Neodiprion lecontei: one gene and its partner. The protein of the gene in region 1 purifies or fractionates together with the protein of each later gene. This does not show direct contact. Links are inferred from orthologs where the notes say so. Each region holds a gene or a part of one and is shown on either strand. Other genes may lie near its edges. The genes, in order: tRNA (adenine(58)-N(1))-methyltransferase non-catalytic subunit TRM6 and tRNA (adenine(58)-N(1))-methyltransferase catalytic subunit TRMT61A.

Region 1 (8,088 bases):
ATTGAATAAAAAAAAAAAACACCGCAAATCAGGATTTCTTGTACTAGTTTATACAGTAATAGTCCACCATGACTACCGTGAATATTAAATCTGTATGGTCCATAACCCGGTGAAGTCATCACGTGAGGAAATGCCAGAATTGACCCGATAAAAGAAAAAGTGGCTAAAAAGAATGAAATTCTGACTCTCGTCAATTGCAGGATATTCCAAGAAGCCCAATTGAGCCAGTTACGAAATAAGTCTCTCTCAATTCTCTTCATTCTTTTCCCGTTTTCTGCCACCGAAATAGCTGTATAATAATTCTTATTGTCCGTGAATTTACATGTGTTAAAACCGAGAAACAATATTTCCAGATACTTAACCAATACCATGAGAATTGTATGTATATAAATACATCTTTCACGGTACAGCATTGAATTTGCAGTTACGTATAAAGAAATTTAATACCCTGCCGGTGACTCCAAATAATATCGGATCATTTAATGTTCTTGGTAACAAGGCAAGCCAGTATACAGCTTGTTCAATTAAATAATCTACATGTATATTATACATACGTACGGTTTTACAGGTATTAAAAACTTCGGACTCGGTATAGTACTAATTATAACTTCATCTCATGTTATTAATTAGTAAAATAAATAAGCTGTGAGATGTGTAACCTTCCGTTTACTCAGAAATGGTGAATAACTTTTTCTTGCATACCTTACGCGGATACAAATTCAGTTCGGCGTTAAAATTCGTTGGTTGCGATTAGTTGAGGCTTGTACTGATGAATAAGATTACGTCCTATACACTCCTATGTCAGCATCCGGTAATTAACTCGTTTTTTTAATCATCTAATGTATTTCTTCCAATTACCCAGTCCACAACATTTATTTTGGTATGTAGTGGCATTTATATATTGCCGTATATTTTATTTCTTTTTATTCTTCTATGATTCCAGTTCCAGTGCAAAGTAATTATTTTTAAACTTTCTTGATATTTTTCGGTAAACGTTTGGAAGCGCCTCATACAAATCCTAATCATCCTAATACAAATGTAATGATATTCAGGTAAACGAATGGTAGTTTTCAACCAATAATATTTTGATGACAATTGGATTTAATCCGATTTCAAACGGAGACTAGATCTTTACCGTATATCTTTTATTTCCTGCAGTGACATGATTAGTCGCAGAACTTATTAGATCAAATTGTTCAGAAGTATATAATTCAATCTATTTTTTCATACAAAGTTAATTCAGGCTTTCATGATTATAACACTTCTACTTTATTAATTTTTTTCCTTAGGCACCTTTATCACAGCTGTGTGTCAATTTGAAAAGAAGTTATTAGTTTTTTACATTTTACTTAAAACCGGTTACGGTGGATTTAACGAGTTTTTAATGTACACTGCTTAGTTCATGTAATAACTCTTAACGGGTACTAAACAACCGTTATAATGCTGAATCCGTAAACTCCGATCAATAGATTGTGATTTGAATCATAAGTATGTCGAATGAAAAAGTATAACTTGATTTCAGGAAAGGCCGGACGAAGAGTTGAGCAGTGGATTTTCATGGTGGCAGTAACGAACCTACTGTTATACAGCCTGAGATAACACCAAAGAACGTTCAGTTGATTTTACGCGTTTAAGTGTACTGGGAATGAAGAAGTAAATTGTTTGTAAAACTTTGAAAATAATTAAAAACCCTTTTGTTGAAACATTATCGTGTGTATGTTATTCGTGTAGATGTGTAGCACTGCCGGAAGAGCCGTGTAGTGGCATTGATTTAAATAATGTAACATACACCTACGCGCCATTAGACCGTCAAAAGCGAACAAATTTCTTCCTCAGATTAAGACGACGGGGTTTTTTTTCAAACAAAATGGATACGAACATTCCCTAGTTATACTGGCATTCGTCATCAAAATCGCCCAACACTCGTATACCCGTATATTTTCGCAGACCAAAAACAGGACTAGAAGTAAATCCGTTTTGAAATGTCAATTTATTTTTGTTGCATGATATGTTAATGTTAATTACATGTATATGCAATAAACAATGTAAAATACTACATATATGATATTAAATACATAAACTAGAAATATGTCACGCTGCACCGAGTGTACGCTGTGTGTCACGTGCAGAGTTTGTATAATAAAATATTCACATACAATCGAAAATAAATATCGATGTTACGTTTGTGTCAATTTGTAGTATTAACGTGAAAAAGAGTTATAGTCAGATAAAAAAATAAAGGTGGGAGGGGGCAGTGGATTTCACATGAAACATTCTTAATGAACGATGAAAAATATATTACAAGTATGTGAAATTTATCAATAACTGACGGCATTTTCACAGGAACTCCGTAAGAGCTTCCTGCGAGCTATGCATGCTGAGTTACAAAGGAGCTCAAAAGTTGCGCCGTGAGAGCTTCCTCAAAGCTGCTAAAAGTGTAGCTTCCTCAAAGCTCGCATGAAACTTTTCTTGCTCAAAAATTTCGGAGCGTTCTAGTAGTTCATCGAAATAAGTTCTCTGGGAACTTCGTTGGAGACTGTCTGAAGCACTATGTATGATCATTATATGGTAATTGTGAGTATTGTGACTACAGTCTGATAAAATGCTGTATTGATTAATTATTGTGACTTTTAATTTATTTATTCGAATACTCAATTCATTACTGAAATTCGCTTTTGCAGAAATTTAAAAATTACAACCTAATAAAAAACATTCATCAGGTCTAAATGGTTTTGGTAGAAAATACAAATCGTATCGATTATTTATTAAATTCAGTGTTGAATATATACGTCTAAAATGTCGTAGGAATTTTTTTAAACTAGATTTTTAATCGAAACCAATCCAAATGCAATAGGGTTCCTTTTTCAAAAGTAGACGCTGAGGAAGAAGGAAATGAAGTGAGTATAGAGAGAGAGATGATCCCCGGCTATTGATCATTTGGAACTAAAATAAAGCTTGCTCCTAGAAGTAGGCAATTATTTTCACATATGAAAAGTTGCCCATCTATCTCCAGGAGCTTGACACAAATTCAATGCAATTCACGCTTTACGTAAACCGTTTCCACTGATTGAGGGTAACAGTTAAACGTGATCAGGTTTAAAAAAGTGAAATCCGAGTATTTGTTATAATATCCCAATGAAGCTATCCTACCGCAAACGTTCTACAAATACGTCCGCAAATAAAATTTTAACTAATTATCAATGTAGATGTTTAAATATACCCGCCTTCAAATCTACAGGACTGCAGTCTTGAAATCGTTGGGTTAATAACATTGGCAGCGTCGACCCGAGCTTCGATTAGCCCATGGATTGGCCATTGAAGTCGATCTTGTCAGTAGTAGTTGGTAGTAGTCTGTACTCTGTGGTCGATCTGAGGTTACGCTACACCAACAGTTGACGTCTCGTTGGCCTCGCATTTGGAGGTTAAGGTAATCATTTCTCACGTGGATATCTGATTACCACGGACGATAGAAAATATAAACAAACTTCACATTACAGCTTGGAATTTGGTGTACCCAAAGTGCCACCACAATGAACGAGCTTGATGCAGAAGTTGTTAAAGTTGGAGACTATGTTGTCGTACAAAGACAGAATTACTACAAGCTCCATAAGGTGACGGCGAATGGAAATTTACTACTGGGTAAAGACCAGCTGGAGATGAGTAGTATAATTGGTAGACCAATGTGGACAACGTATAAAATGGAAGCAAAGGTGACTGGGAAGAGATTATACACTTTGCTGGAGACTAAAGAAGTTGAATCGCTATCGAAAGACTTGAAGAGTGTGTTACCCAGTGGGCTAGACAACAGAAGCATCATTGACGACGGAACGTCGCAACAGTTATCAACCGAAGATATTGTGGGATTAAGGGAAGCAGGGAAGTCGAGTAAAGAAATAGTTGGCAAACTGATAGAGAATAGCAAAACGTTTCAGAATAAAACTGAATATTCACAAGCCAAGTATTTGAAAAAAAAAGAAAAGAAATATTTTGAGTACATCACGATTAGAAAACCTACAATACGGCTAATTCAAGACATTTATTTTCGAATGGATCATCAGAAGATCAGCAGTCTGAGGATGGATACACTAGCTCAGCTCCTTTCTTATTCTGGTGTTAATGCTGATGGGCTCTATATGGTCTATGACAGTGGTTCTCAAGGGTTGCCCGCTTCAGCTATGCTTCATCGCATTGGCGCCGGAACAAATGGTAAACTAATTCACATGCATCCAGGAAATATTCCCCAAAGAACATTGATTCAAGCAATGAACTTTCCCGAGGAGCAGCTGCGTAGAATGCTTACTGTCAACATTTATAGTCTAATACGTATGTATTACCAGGGGACTGAACAATTTCTAGAAGTATCAAAGTACAAAGCAAAATCTGATACCCTGAACGTAGAATGCATTGTATTGGAATCCAATGACACTGACTTCACAGAAGATGTGGCAAATCCTAAAGTGCCCAAGGCTGAAGCTGAAGTAAAGGCAGAGGGGATTACAGAAGATAATTCAAGCAACAGAGCTGTGAACTCATTCGAAAGCAAAGGGTTGAAACGCAAGCTTAAAGATGCACCAAGTCACGAACCACCTAAAAAACCTAAATGGCTTATAGAAACACAAGAGGCTGTTGAGATTATGAAAGTAACTAAAGCTGACGGTCTAGCTATCATAGCTAAAGAACATCCACTTAATATAATCAAAGGTCTTCTGCCATTTTTAGGAATCTCTAGGCCATTTGTTATTTATCATTCATCTCGAGAACCATTACAGGAAACTTACGTTGCTTTGAAGCAAAGATCAGATGTTATTAATTTAAGGTTATTCGCCAACTTCTTACGGTCTCATCAAGTATTGCCAGATAGGACACATCCTGACATTTTAATGAGTGACACAGGTGGATATTTATTGTATGGATATTTAGTTGACTAAGCTTAACACATAAACTTCCACAATACACAGTGATCAAAACACAACACAGTTGTAGCACTTTTAGTGAAAATTTCAGGCTATTTTAAACCATATAGCATACGGCTGACAAAGTTGTAGAGAAAAACTTTCTCACGAAATAACAAACTGCAAATAAAATCAGTGATTTGATACAAGGTCCAAGTATAACAAAAGTTATTTTTGAGTATATTACAGTACCAATAATTTGTGCAAATCTTATTTGAAAATAGTTTTTGGAGAAATTTCCAGTGCTAGCTTCATGTAATTTAATAAGAATTCCATTCATTATATTAAATGACATACAATCAAGATGAACATTTCTTATAAAAGTATAAATATGCAAATTATATCAATTCGGATGAAGATATACGTTATTAGGCCAACTGCATCTTACAAATGAAATCCGTTGTATTGTTGACTTGGTAAAAATTTCAGAGCATTCAATAATCAATCTGCGAGAAAAATAAATTTTGTCAATCTATATGTAAAACTATATATTTGATCCTTGCGTAAATTGCAGGTAACGATATTGTTAATTAAATATCGATACGTTTCGTTAGAGATGCAGGGCTTGCCTGAGACCATACCTCCAATTTATTCCATTTTGTACCTAATGAGTATTTATCAACGCATCGTATGATTGTACTTTCAGTTGGTAATATCAGAATCTGCTGCAACCCTAATCGACCTACAGCGTTGACTGTAGATACCTATCGTATATCTGTCGTATATACATATTTGGACCCAGATTGGAAAGTGCATTTTACATCGTACAACGATATACCTATAATGCTGTTGGGAAGTGAAATTAATGCCGAAATTTGAATTCAAATATTTCCTTAATCCAAATACGAACTGGTCCGAAATTCCAATCCAATATCCATGTTATCATGCTGTGCTTGACTTGAATCATGTTTTAAACAGTTTTGAAACGAGTGTTGCGTGAGTGCATTACGAGTGCTTCAATATCTAAGTACAACATATTCACGCAGCCTTGCCCAAAAAATCGTTAATTCCCGCTTGGCAGCCGTTGGCGTTCAGTCGCGTTCAATCACGTTGGTATCCATGCTCTCTACCGTATCGTGCTTTCGCCAAAGCTCAAGCGACAAGCAATCAGGAAAAAGTGAACTGAGAGAAGAGGCTAGTGAATTATTGACAGTTTGATAAGCGGTATTATTTGGGCATTAGAAGCCACGATATAAGCAGTGATAATGAGGCCAGATTCGAGGAGTATCTCGTTCACATTTCACCGCTCGGCTTTAACCGCAAACAACACCTCAGACGAGCCGAAAGAGTCAAGAAATTTACGTCGAAGACTGCAGGATCGTTTTGACCAAGAATGCCCGTACAATTTGGCCAACAAAGAGTCACCTTCAAAAAAACGTACTTCCAAAAGTAGGGCTGGTTCCTTAACTCCCGAAAAAGGATGGAGTAATTTAAGCTTGAGTAACGTTTCGGCCGACTCAAGACGAGCCTTCAGAAATGGAGCTGAAAAATTATCCAAGACCATCTCTTCGGTTCGAATGACTTTTGGAACAATTTCTCAGGTTTGTGCGTGGTACTATAATATATCTGAATTCTTTGTAACTTGTCGTCCCTTTTTTAATAACTGCCTTTCAACACCTTTTACTTTTTACTTCATGATAGTAAAATACCACCTGCATGAAATTCAAACGATTGCTATAGCCATTGAATTAAAAATCTATTCAAGCATTTGTCTTTATATCTGTCTGTATCACTGTGCATTGGATTGTGATTTTTGTGGAACAAACAATAACATGCTCCTTTTTCTCTATCAAGAAATTTAGAAGTTCAACACGCAGGAGGCAACGTTTAGAGGAATGCCACTCCCCCACAATCTCTGCGACACCTCAAACTCGGTCTCGTCATCTGTTGGGCAGGACACCAACAAAACTCTACAGTCCATTTGGCATAGAGTCGCCAAGGTCTGCTTGGAGTAATTCACCTGGAAAAGAGAATGAGGATTCCAGTGCCATGCATAAACTTACCAACGTTGAACAAAAATTGCGCAAACCCTTTCAACTAACCAAAGCTAATGGCTTTACTACGTTCAGATAAATTCTGAAATCAATACATCTATCGCACAGATACTGATTACTAATTAGCACATTTTTTCACGTTTATTAATCCTTCAAAGGATAAAAATATTTCATTCCCAGCAAGATATATTGCTGAATGCTGCTACTTTTATTGTAAGATAATTGATGCCTTAACATTTTTTGATAATGCGAGCTTGTGTGATTTACATGTTTTATAGATAGCACGTCAGAGCTAATTAATGATCAATCTGATTACGACTGGTGAATTTACAACTAAATTTTTAAAAAAAGTCAAATTACGGCTTTATTGTTCAAAACACCGTCGAAAGTTATCATGCTGTTTCAAATCCAAATCATAATTTGCTATCCACAACTTGGACGTACATTGAAAAAATGAATCTTCACTGCCTAATTGATATTGACGATAACTTATTTCACAACAAGTCTATGTTTTAAGTCTCACTCAATGGAAAAAGCATTCGTGACAAAGGAACTAAGAAAGGATGGAAAATATCGGTTTCTGATATTTGAACCGACTGTAGCTGTTTTACAATTTCTTGTTCAAAATGATCATCGCAGGGGGACATGATTATAATTTACGATTAAAAATCGTGTATCTCTTCTATATACCAATTAATTATTCCTTCCGTTAAATTTGCGTTGACGATTCCGATATTGATTGAAATTAAACTTGAACTTGTCATCCCTCCAAATTGTACTGTAATGATAAGACTTGAGCAGCATATTGTATAAACCCCCTGCCTTGTATTGTATTTTCAGTATTTATTGTTCGTAAGACAAATGAAACAGCCAACTGTGTTGGCTTATAAATGAAAAAAAAATCCTATTAATTTAATATTTAAAGTACTACTTAATTTAGTAATTAAATAATAACTCATAACGTATTGACAACTATGTTGGAATTAAGAAGTAACATATTTATCTAAATGATAGTTTTAGATATTTTGTCTTGATCGATTCAGGATCAACTTAATCTCAGCGTATATCTTGTAGCTTTTTCACTCACTATGCCTGGTAGAGGCTATTTTTTCTACAAGTATATCCTGGACCATTGGGTGCAT
Region 2 (7,343 bases), on another chromosome or scaffold:
TATGTTAATACTTATAAAACTAGTTTTCTGGTATACCAGTGAAGCAGTAACGTTATTTTTCCTGAAACAGGGAGCCTCAGTTCGAAAAACCTCGGTTTTGGACGTGATGCGACGATTATTGCAGCCCAAAAACATGATGGTATCCACAGCTCTGGATCGGAATGCGGCGCACTGTTATATTTCCATATTAAATATCATCCAGGTCAGGAGATGATAATAAATTTCTGAAATACGTAACTTAATGAATCTACTTTGTTTTTTTGGCATTCTGCTCATCTCTTCTGATCCATCAATTCGATCATTTTTCACAGGGAGAAGTAGACCCTACACAAGTTCACAAATCTCTCCAAAGAATTAGAGAGAGAAAACTTGCGCAATTTATACCCTGGGGACCAGCTAGCATCCAAGTCGCGCTCTCAAGGAAGTCTCCATACATTCAGAGCACCCATAGAGTCTCTGGACTCATGTTGGCAAACCATACTAACATATCGTCGGTACGTATAGCATTCTCCTCTCGTATCCATTTTTCTTTTCTGTATATCGAAAATCTTCGTCTCTTCGGTTTAGGAAACGCACGACTTTCAGGGAGACCTAAAATATAGAAGTAATTTTTTTACTTATAGCTTTTTGATCGCGCACTTCAACAGTACGATAAGCTACGCAAACGAGAAGCTTTTTTGGAACAATTTCGTAAGGAAAAAATGTTCGAAGATAATTTGGACGAGCTCGATCATTCGCGACAAGTGGTTGAGGACCTTGTAAAGGAATACCAGGCTGCTACGAGGCCGGATTACCTCACGTGGAGCCCCGTGAAAAGCGAATAAATTTAAGACTATCATATTGCCTAAAAGACACCAAAACTATGCTGTCATCTCACAAAACGTGCTGACTGCGAAACGCATGCTTAAAGCCTCGGTGGAGCTGCTTTGACGGACAAAGTTTTAATTCGCACATTTAAACATCGCTGTGATTTTGACGAAGCTCTTGAAATGATTGAGGTATTAACTTCAGAAGAAACTGTGTATACATTTTTCAATTCTACCGCGAAGTTGATGTTTTCAATTTTAGTTGATGAATTGTATGCCATAAATAGCGAAATACTCCGCGGCACGCCATATTTACCATTACGCCGTGTAGATACATCTATTTTTTATTAAACTTTTAATAATATTCACAGTAGCGCAACTCAGCGTCTGCTGATTTTCTCGGTCCCAATCTAACAGAGAAACGTTTACATTGTTCGTTGAAAAGAATTTGTGTTATCTGCTTATGCGAGTTCAGCTCTAATGGGGCTTTCAATGCTTTGCACTTGACAAATAAATCAAAAGCTTTTTAATCATGTATGTTGTATTGTAAAGTGAATCCTAACAATTTTGCAAAATCGTTTCAACATTGAATATTGTTTGAAATGACGAATTTTCAGTGTACAAAATTTCACCCTTGAGTACAATATAGGGTCAAAAAATATAGAGTACATGAAGAAAAAATACTAAAACGACGTATCGTTGGTAATAAAATTTTACTCTTGCATACATGTGTATAAAACTGCTATGAATGTAGTTGTTAGCTGTTGAACAGTGAATATCTAACTGATGAAATCTTTGGAGTGGAATAGAAAGTAGGTATTGAAAAATTTGAAAAAATATGGTTGGTGTTATTATCAAAGGAAATATTTATTGTCGGTTAACTAACAACTCCTTCTTCCGATTGGCGGCAGCGTAGCAATCGTAATGTATCCAGTGTGCCCTGGCAGCGAGTGCGCGTGCGAAACAGTTACTAATCTTTCCAGTCCTCCCACCTCTTTGCCATTATTTTCGTTTCTGTTATCATCGGTATGCTGCAGCAAAAGAAACGAGTAATTGGTATATGTTATACATTGATATTTTTACGCTACTCAACATGGCAGAAAAATTTTAACGTCAAAAAGAATTCTCAATCAATTTACGATTTTATACTGCTTCAATCAATTTTCTACTTTTTACATTGACATCTAATTTACCATTTGAAATAAAATTGATTACTAATAATCAATTGAATTGATTAATTTTTTTGAGACTTGTTTTTTGTACATGATCTGCATACCTTGCTTTTTAAACATTCTAGTTTCAATACTGGTACAGTTTTGTATTGTACAGTCAATTCCCGTTGCAGACACTCGATTGTTTTTATTTCTATAAATCCAGCAGACATGAGTTTTTCACATGTTCTTTGAACCTGTTCTATGCATGGCGAAAAGGAACAGAGTCTACCACCTGAAAAAGGAAAGGTGTTTTAAATTTTTACGTGTCTTAATAAACATTTTTCAGTAAAATTTTTACCTAGGTAACACAAGCAAAGTTAAAACTTACCTGATTTCCGAAAACATCTCGTTGCATGTTCAATGGTTAACCATGGATGTGGTAAGTCAAGAAATATAGCATTGGCTTTGCCTTCTAATGCATCTCCGAATCCTGTCTGACAAACGTCTCTCTGTTCGACAGTAACGTAGCGTTCTAATCCATGCTTTTTAAACTCGATGTCAGCCACAGATACTCGTTGTTCGTGAAAATCAAAGGTGTACAAATGACCGTGAGGTTTTATTGCATTGATCAAAGCATGCGACAAGGAACCACTTCCCGTTCCTGTTTAACAAAGTTTGGGGTATGAAAATTTGTTGGAATGTAGTAAAAATCATGAAGATATTCATATTAATGTGTGGTACACTGAATTTCCGAACCTGTTTCTATCACAGTGTCTCCAGGTTCGAGTTCCATCAGGTAAACTATGTTACTAATGTCTGGTGTATAAATTATTTGAGTCCTATGCGGCAGAGTCAATGTCCAGAGGTCTGAAGTAGGCTGTAAGACGTAGGCCCACCCCCTTGATAGGTCCACCTTGGCACCGTATTTAGCGCCAACCAAGGAGGCAACTTTGAGAGCTCCGTAAACAGTTTGAAATACATTTTCAACCAAAATGCCTTTCTTATTCAATGTCTTCGGAGTCACTTCCAAGGAATGCATGTTGGATGGCGCAATATACAAGATCACTACGTCACCCTCCTCGACGAGATCCTTAGACCCGTTGAAACTCATCGTGGGATTGCTTCGCTGAGGTATTTGAGCGCCTGTAGATGCCTGCAATAGCAACGAGGATTAGAGAGGAATAGAATTGGTCCTCTAGTGTGTATTATTATGAACATTGACTATTTGTCAACGGATTTCTGTTGCCTTACCCTTTTTATCTGCCATACACCCAGGAATGCAAATTCTCAAAATCACGTGTATCTTGGAAGTATTCTGATAGCAAAATTGTGTGCTGGTTACGTGCCGCTTTTGAGGTTATGTTGATGAAGTCACCGCGTTGAAGAGACTTGGGCTATCCGCGGTGATGAAGAATTTTCGAAATGACTCCTGATGATGTCTATTGACAGTTTAGGTATCGAAACTATATTGATCAAGAGTGAGTTAAGCTACGATTACAACGTTGTGGCGATCTTTATTATCGACTGGACATGATCCTGGCCTGTGCCCAATTCGTTCTTACCGGCGGCGTTGTGTACTTCTTCGGTAAGTCTTGATCATCAGTTAAGCGCCTTTGATGAAGATAATGTCAAAGTTTTGAAAACATTTTTTTAATTGCTTTAATAATAAAATATTGTATAAACTGTATGAAGTTCACTTGTAAGTGAATCAAACTTCAAACTCATCATGTTAGCGCTAGACAAGCTATATCTGCATCAAAATATATGTAATATTTCCCAAGTTTTCATAACTTCAAAAAGGGTTTTCTAAGTCGAGCGAAACTTTTACAGTGATTTTTACCCATTTGATGTTTTTTATGTTTAATTGTGATAAATTGAGCTGGATTGTTTCATTTTTTCATATATGTACTTAAGAATCTCATAGGAATGGATAAAGATGAAATTGTATATGACTGATTGGAGAAAAATCAAATTGCGTCAGAATTGAATCAAAAGAAAACCATAATTACAGATTTGAAACAATAAGACCATTAATTCGGATTGCCTCTTGCCTCATGCTATTTGTTTTCTTGTGAAATTTAGATTCCTGAACATTATTTCAAGATGTTTCAATCTATGTTCCTTCACTGAGTAAAACACCGTTTCGACCATCAACGCCCCGATTTGAATATAAAATGCCAAATTGTGTTTACTACCCCATAATTTGGTAGAAATTCAAAAAAATGTCAAACTTCCACCATCTCGTACATACGTGAAGATGAACTTGAAGATACATCGAATATCTTTAACAGCGTAAAATATGAAATAAAAATTCACAAGATGATAACATTGGTTTTTGGAAAAAAAAAAAAACTGACAAGGAATCATCAATTCTGAAAGGCAAATGGAACTAGCTCTATATAAAATTGACATCAATTTTCTTCGACCGTGAAGAATAAACAGTTTTCCCAAGTTCAACAGAAGCTATAGTTTAAAACTAAGGTGCCATGAAATGGATTTGCTGGAACGTCTCACGTGAATTTTTAATGCGACACCTTCAGCGTTGCAAGGGTGCAGCAAGATTAGTCCAAGGCCGATGTAGAGGCCTGGGTAATTTCACACCTTAGAGTAAGATTACGTGGCTAGGAATATTCCTGAACCCCGATATTTACACTTGCAATTATTAACTCAGCAGTATATATCATTAATTTAATTCTCGAACCACTTACGTGTTAATACCGGGTTAATAATTTTTTCTATTCTTTAAAAATACAATAGTTTATTTGTTCCAAGTCGTTGATTGTGAATAATCGAACCAAGTCGTGTCATGTCATATAGCCACCGTTGATCTTCACTTATAGTGGAAAGTATGCCACAACTGATTACGACCACAGAACTATAAGATCGAACTATGAAGTATTTAAGCTCGTTCATATAAAAATTTTAATGCAAACTAGAAGTTCATGATTTAAAATCTATGAGATCGATCAGTTAATTTGATAGCTGGAAAAGTTGAAGTCATTCTGAAGGTGTCTATAGTTCAGAGCGTTTGTACAATTTCCGCCATTGAAGTCCCTGAAGTGGAAAATTTTTATTCATTTGAAGATCTTGCACAACCCCTTTTGTCTTTTCATTTCCCCTCTCCCCTCGAAATCGGTTCTGCTACAAAGTATAGTCTTCACAAAGTAGTTTTTCCTAGAATATCGGAACCTTCTCAGAAAGAATCAGTAAATTTCCTAACATCTGTGTCATATTTTGTAAATCGTAGGAAATAATTTATTTATAACATCTGCAAAGTATTTATTGCATATCTTCAGAAAAATTCAGGACATCTTCTGTACGGAACGGAGGAGTATAAGATAGAGCATTTACTTCCATTACTCCGAGAACTTGGTGTTCACCCAGGTCGAAGCTCACATACTTATTCTTAGATAGAAAACGTACGATCCGATATGCGAATCACTACCGCCAATTGCACATAATCGTCTTGGCTATAAGGTATCCGGTTCATCCATATTTCATAAACTTTTCTGCAGCACTATCGTTCGATATCAGCCGCATTTAACACCCAAGATACGTCCGCGGATCCATAAGATATGATCTCGTGTCTTGAAGACGGTCTTGCATTGCTATCGAGACTCGTTAATATCAGTATTCACGAAGCATGAGATCAGTCAGTTTTTTCATTCAGAGATGCGTAGTTCGGTTCGTAACAAGAAGTCACGGAATTAAATCAGTCTTCCGAGGTGGCGATAGACAGACATTTTGCGATTCTGGTCAACTGTACGTTGCGGAAGTTCGACTGGAATTTTGCAAATTTACCCCATAAAGAAGCCATCCAGAATTAAAATATTACAAGACTCCATGTGCGTGTGACTGGAATATTTTTGCAGGTCGTATTTTATTTAGGATTAATCGTTCAATATCATGGCTGAACCAAATCATAAATAATAAATAAATGGCTATAACAAAGTATATCGTCCGACGCCGTAACGAAAACATTGCAAACTTTGTTGACTATTCTGCCGAAGCGCCTGCGCGATGCAACAAATTTACTTTTCCGTTTGACAAAGAGGAATGAGAAGTGTGAAACACTTACTTGACGCCCGTCGTTACTGACAGTTCTTCACCATTTATCCTCAAGCGTCCATCAAAGGCGCTCTGCGTCGTCCGAGATCTGTAGCGAGATTAGTTTGGTTCTTTCTTAGGTAATTTCAATTTGGCTTATCCACTATTTCCTATTTGCAGTGATTTACTGCATTCTTTAAATTTCTTTGGTGAAATTTTATGCAATAAAATATTTATACATGAGGCGGGTTTAATAATTGTTGTAGGTTTTTCTTTTTGTTCTTCGAATTTTACCGTCACGACTTATTTCTTTTAGAATTTCCAAACAGCTTAAGACAATTTTATTTTCCTTTGCCGCAGGAATATCTCACAGCAAATTGGATATGAAAAAAACGTTCTAAATTTCTATTTCTCATATTTTTCAAATTACCATTATTGTGTGGTAACTGAAAAATAAATGAGACAGCTTTACGCGGGATAAGAATTATTCCCAAGTCCAACCCAAGCTCCGGTTTTGTTCGAATTTTCTTTTTTCTTGATCATCATTTTCTTGCATACAAAGTTGTTGTTTGCATTTATAGTGAAATCAACAGTAAGATGCGGTTACCAATCAAGTTGGGCATTGGCGCAGGTGTCATGATTTTTGTGTCTGTATTGACGTGGGTGAGCTTTCCACCATTCATTAGGTCTCAGTTACGTAAGGTGAGTACAAATGTAATTATTTTTTAACGTTAACGTTAACCAGTCTTTCAGTGAAATTTTACCTTTTTTTTAAATCTCTCATTTTTCGCTATGTGGTTATTAAATTTTTACGTTAAATAAAGTTTTCCTCACCTGTAATCGAAATTATCTATCACTTGAAGAACGATCCGCTAAATATAGCCTAGTCATGTTACTTTTGATATTACTGCATTGTTAAGTATATATGATGCAACTCGTGTCATGATATTAAAATGTAATTGCCAATCTCCACATGACACTTATAACTACTTAATCAATGGTTTGGTAATAGTATAAATCTTGTCGCTGCGGTATAATAATACTGGATTATATGTATGAATCAATGTATGTACGTGATTCGCAAAATGACTGTCCTGTGGGAAGAAACCTGTTATTGGACAAGGTCAGAAAAATACATTAGTCACGAAACTGCGAGACAATTAAACTCTGGCCGGTGGATTCTCGACGGGAAATATGCAATCAGGTTTACAAATTTAACCGCACTTTATACATCGTATATACTAGACTGTATAAAAACAATCGATTGTTCTGTTTTTTTTTTTTTAACATTCACTAAACACTCACGTCAAAAACATTGTTCCAAATAACGAGAAAA

The links.
Region 2: the proteins of tRNA (adenine(58)-N(1))-methyltransferase non-catalytic subunit TRM6 (region 1) and tRNA (adenine(58)-N(1))-methyltransferase catalytic subunit TRMT61A purify together in Homo sapiens (affinity purification with mass spectrometry; 4 studies listed by BioGRID and IntAct, counting the BioPlex papers as one, with this or other methods). This does not show direct contact. The link is inferred for Neodiprion lecontei from reciprocal best matches to the Homo sapiens genes TRMT6 and TRMT61A.

What each region holds. Positions count from the first base shown.
Region 1 is NC_060262.1:31,290,392-31,298,479, reverse strand, and holds tRNA (adenine(58)-N(1))-methyltransferase non-catalytic subunit TRM6, read left to right. Parts: upstream 1-3,046; 5' UTR 3,047-3,427; intron 3,428-3,497; 5' UTR 3,498-3,530; coding exon 3,531-4,928; 3' UTR 4,929-5,293; downstream 5,294-8,088. Other genes in the region: uncharacterized protein LOC107225853, read left to right, coding at 1,523-1,599; uncharacterized protein LOC107225851, read left to right, coding at 6,158-6,493, 6,747-7,025. UniProt on the Homo sapiens protein: Substrate-binding subunit of tRNA (adenine-N(1)-)-methyltransferase, which catalyzes the formation of N(1)-methyladenine at position 58 (m1A58) in initiator methionyl-tRNA.
Region 2 is NC_060264.1:31,855,264-31,862,606, reverse strand, and holds tRNA (adenine(58)-N(1))-methyltransferase catalytic subunit TRMT61A, read right to left. Parts: upstream 3,517-7,343; 5' UTR 3,212-3,516; intron 3,114-3,211; 5' UTR 3,072-3,113; coding exon 2,717-3,071; intron 2,622-2,716; coding exon 2,349-2,621; intron 2,253-2,348; coding exon 2,083-2,252; intron 1,838-2,082; coding exon 1,688-1,837; 3' UTR 1,649-1,687; downstream 1-1,648. Other genes in the region: tubulin gamma-2 chain, read left to right, coding at 71-202, 312-494, 624-824; sensory neuron membrane protein 1, read left to right, coding at 6,605-6,709. UniProt on the Homo sapiens protein: Catalytic subunit of tRNA (adenine-N(1)-)-methyltransferase, which catalyzes the formation of N(1)-methyladenine at position 58 (m1A58) in initiator methionyl-tRNA.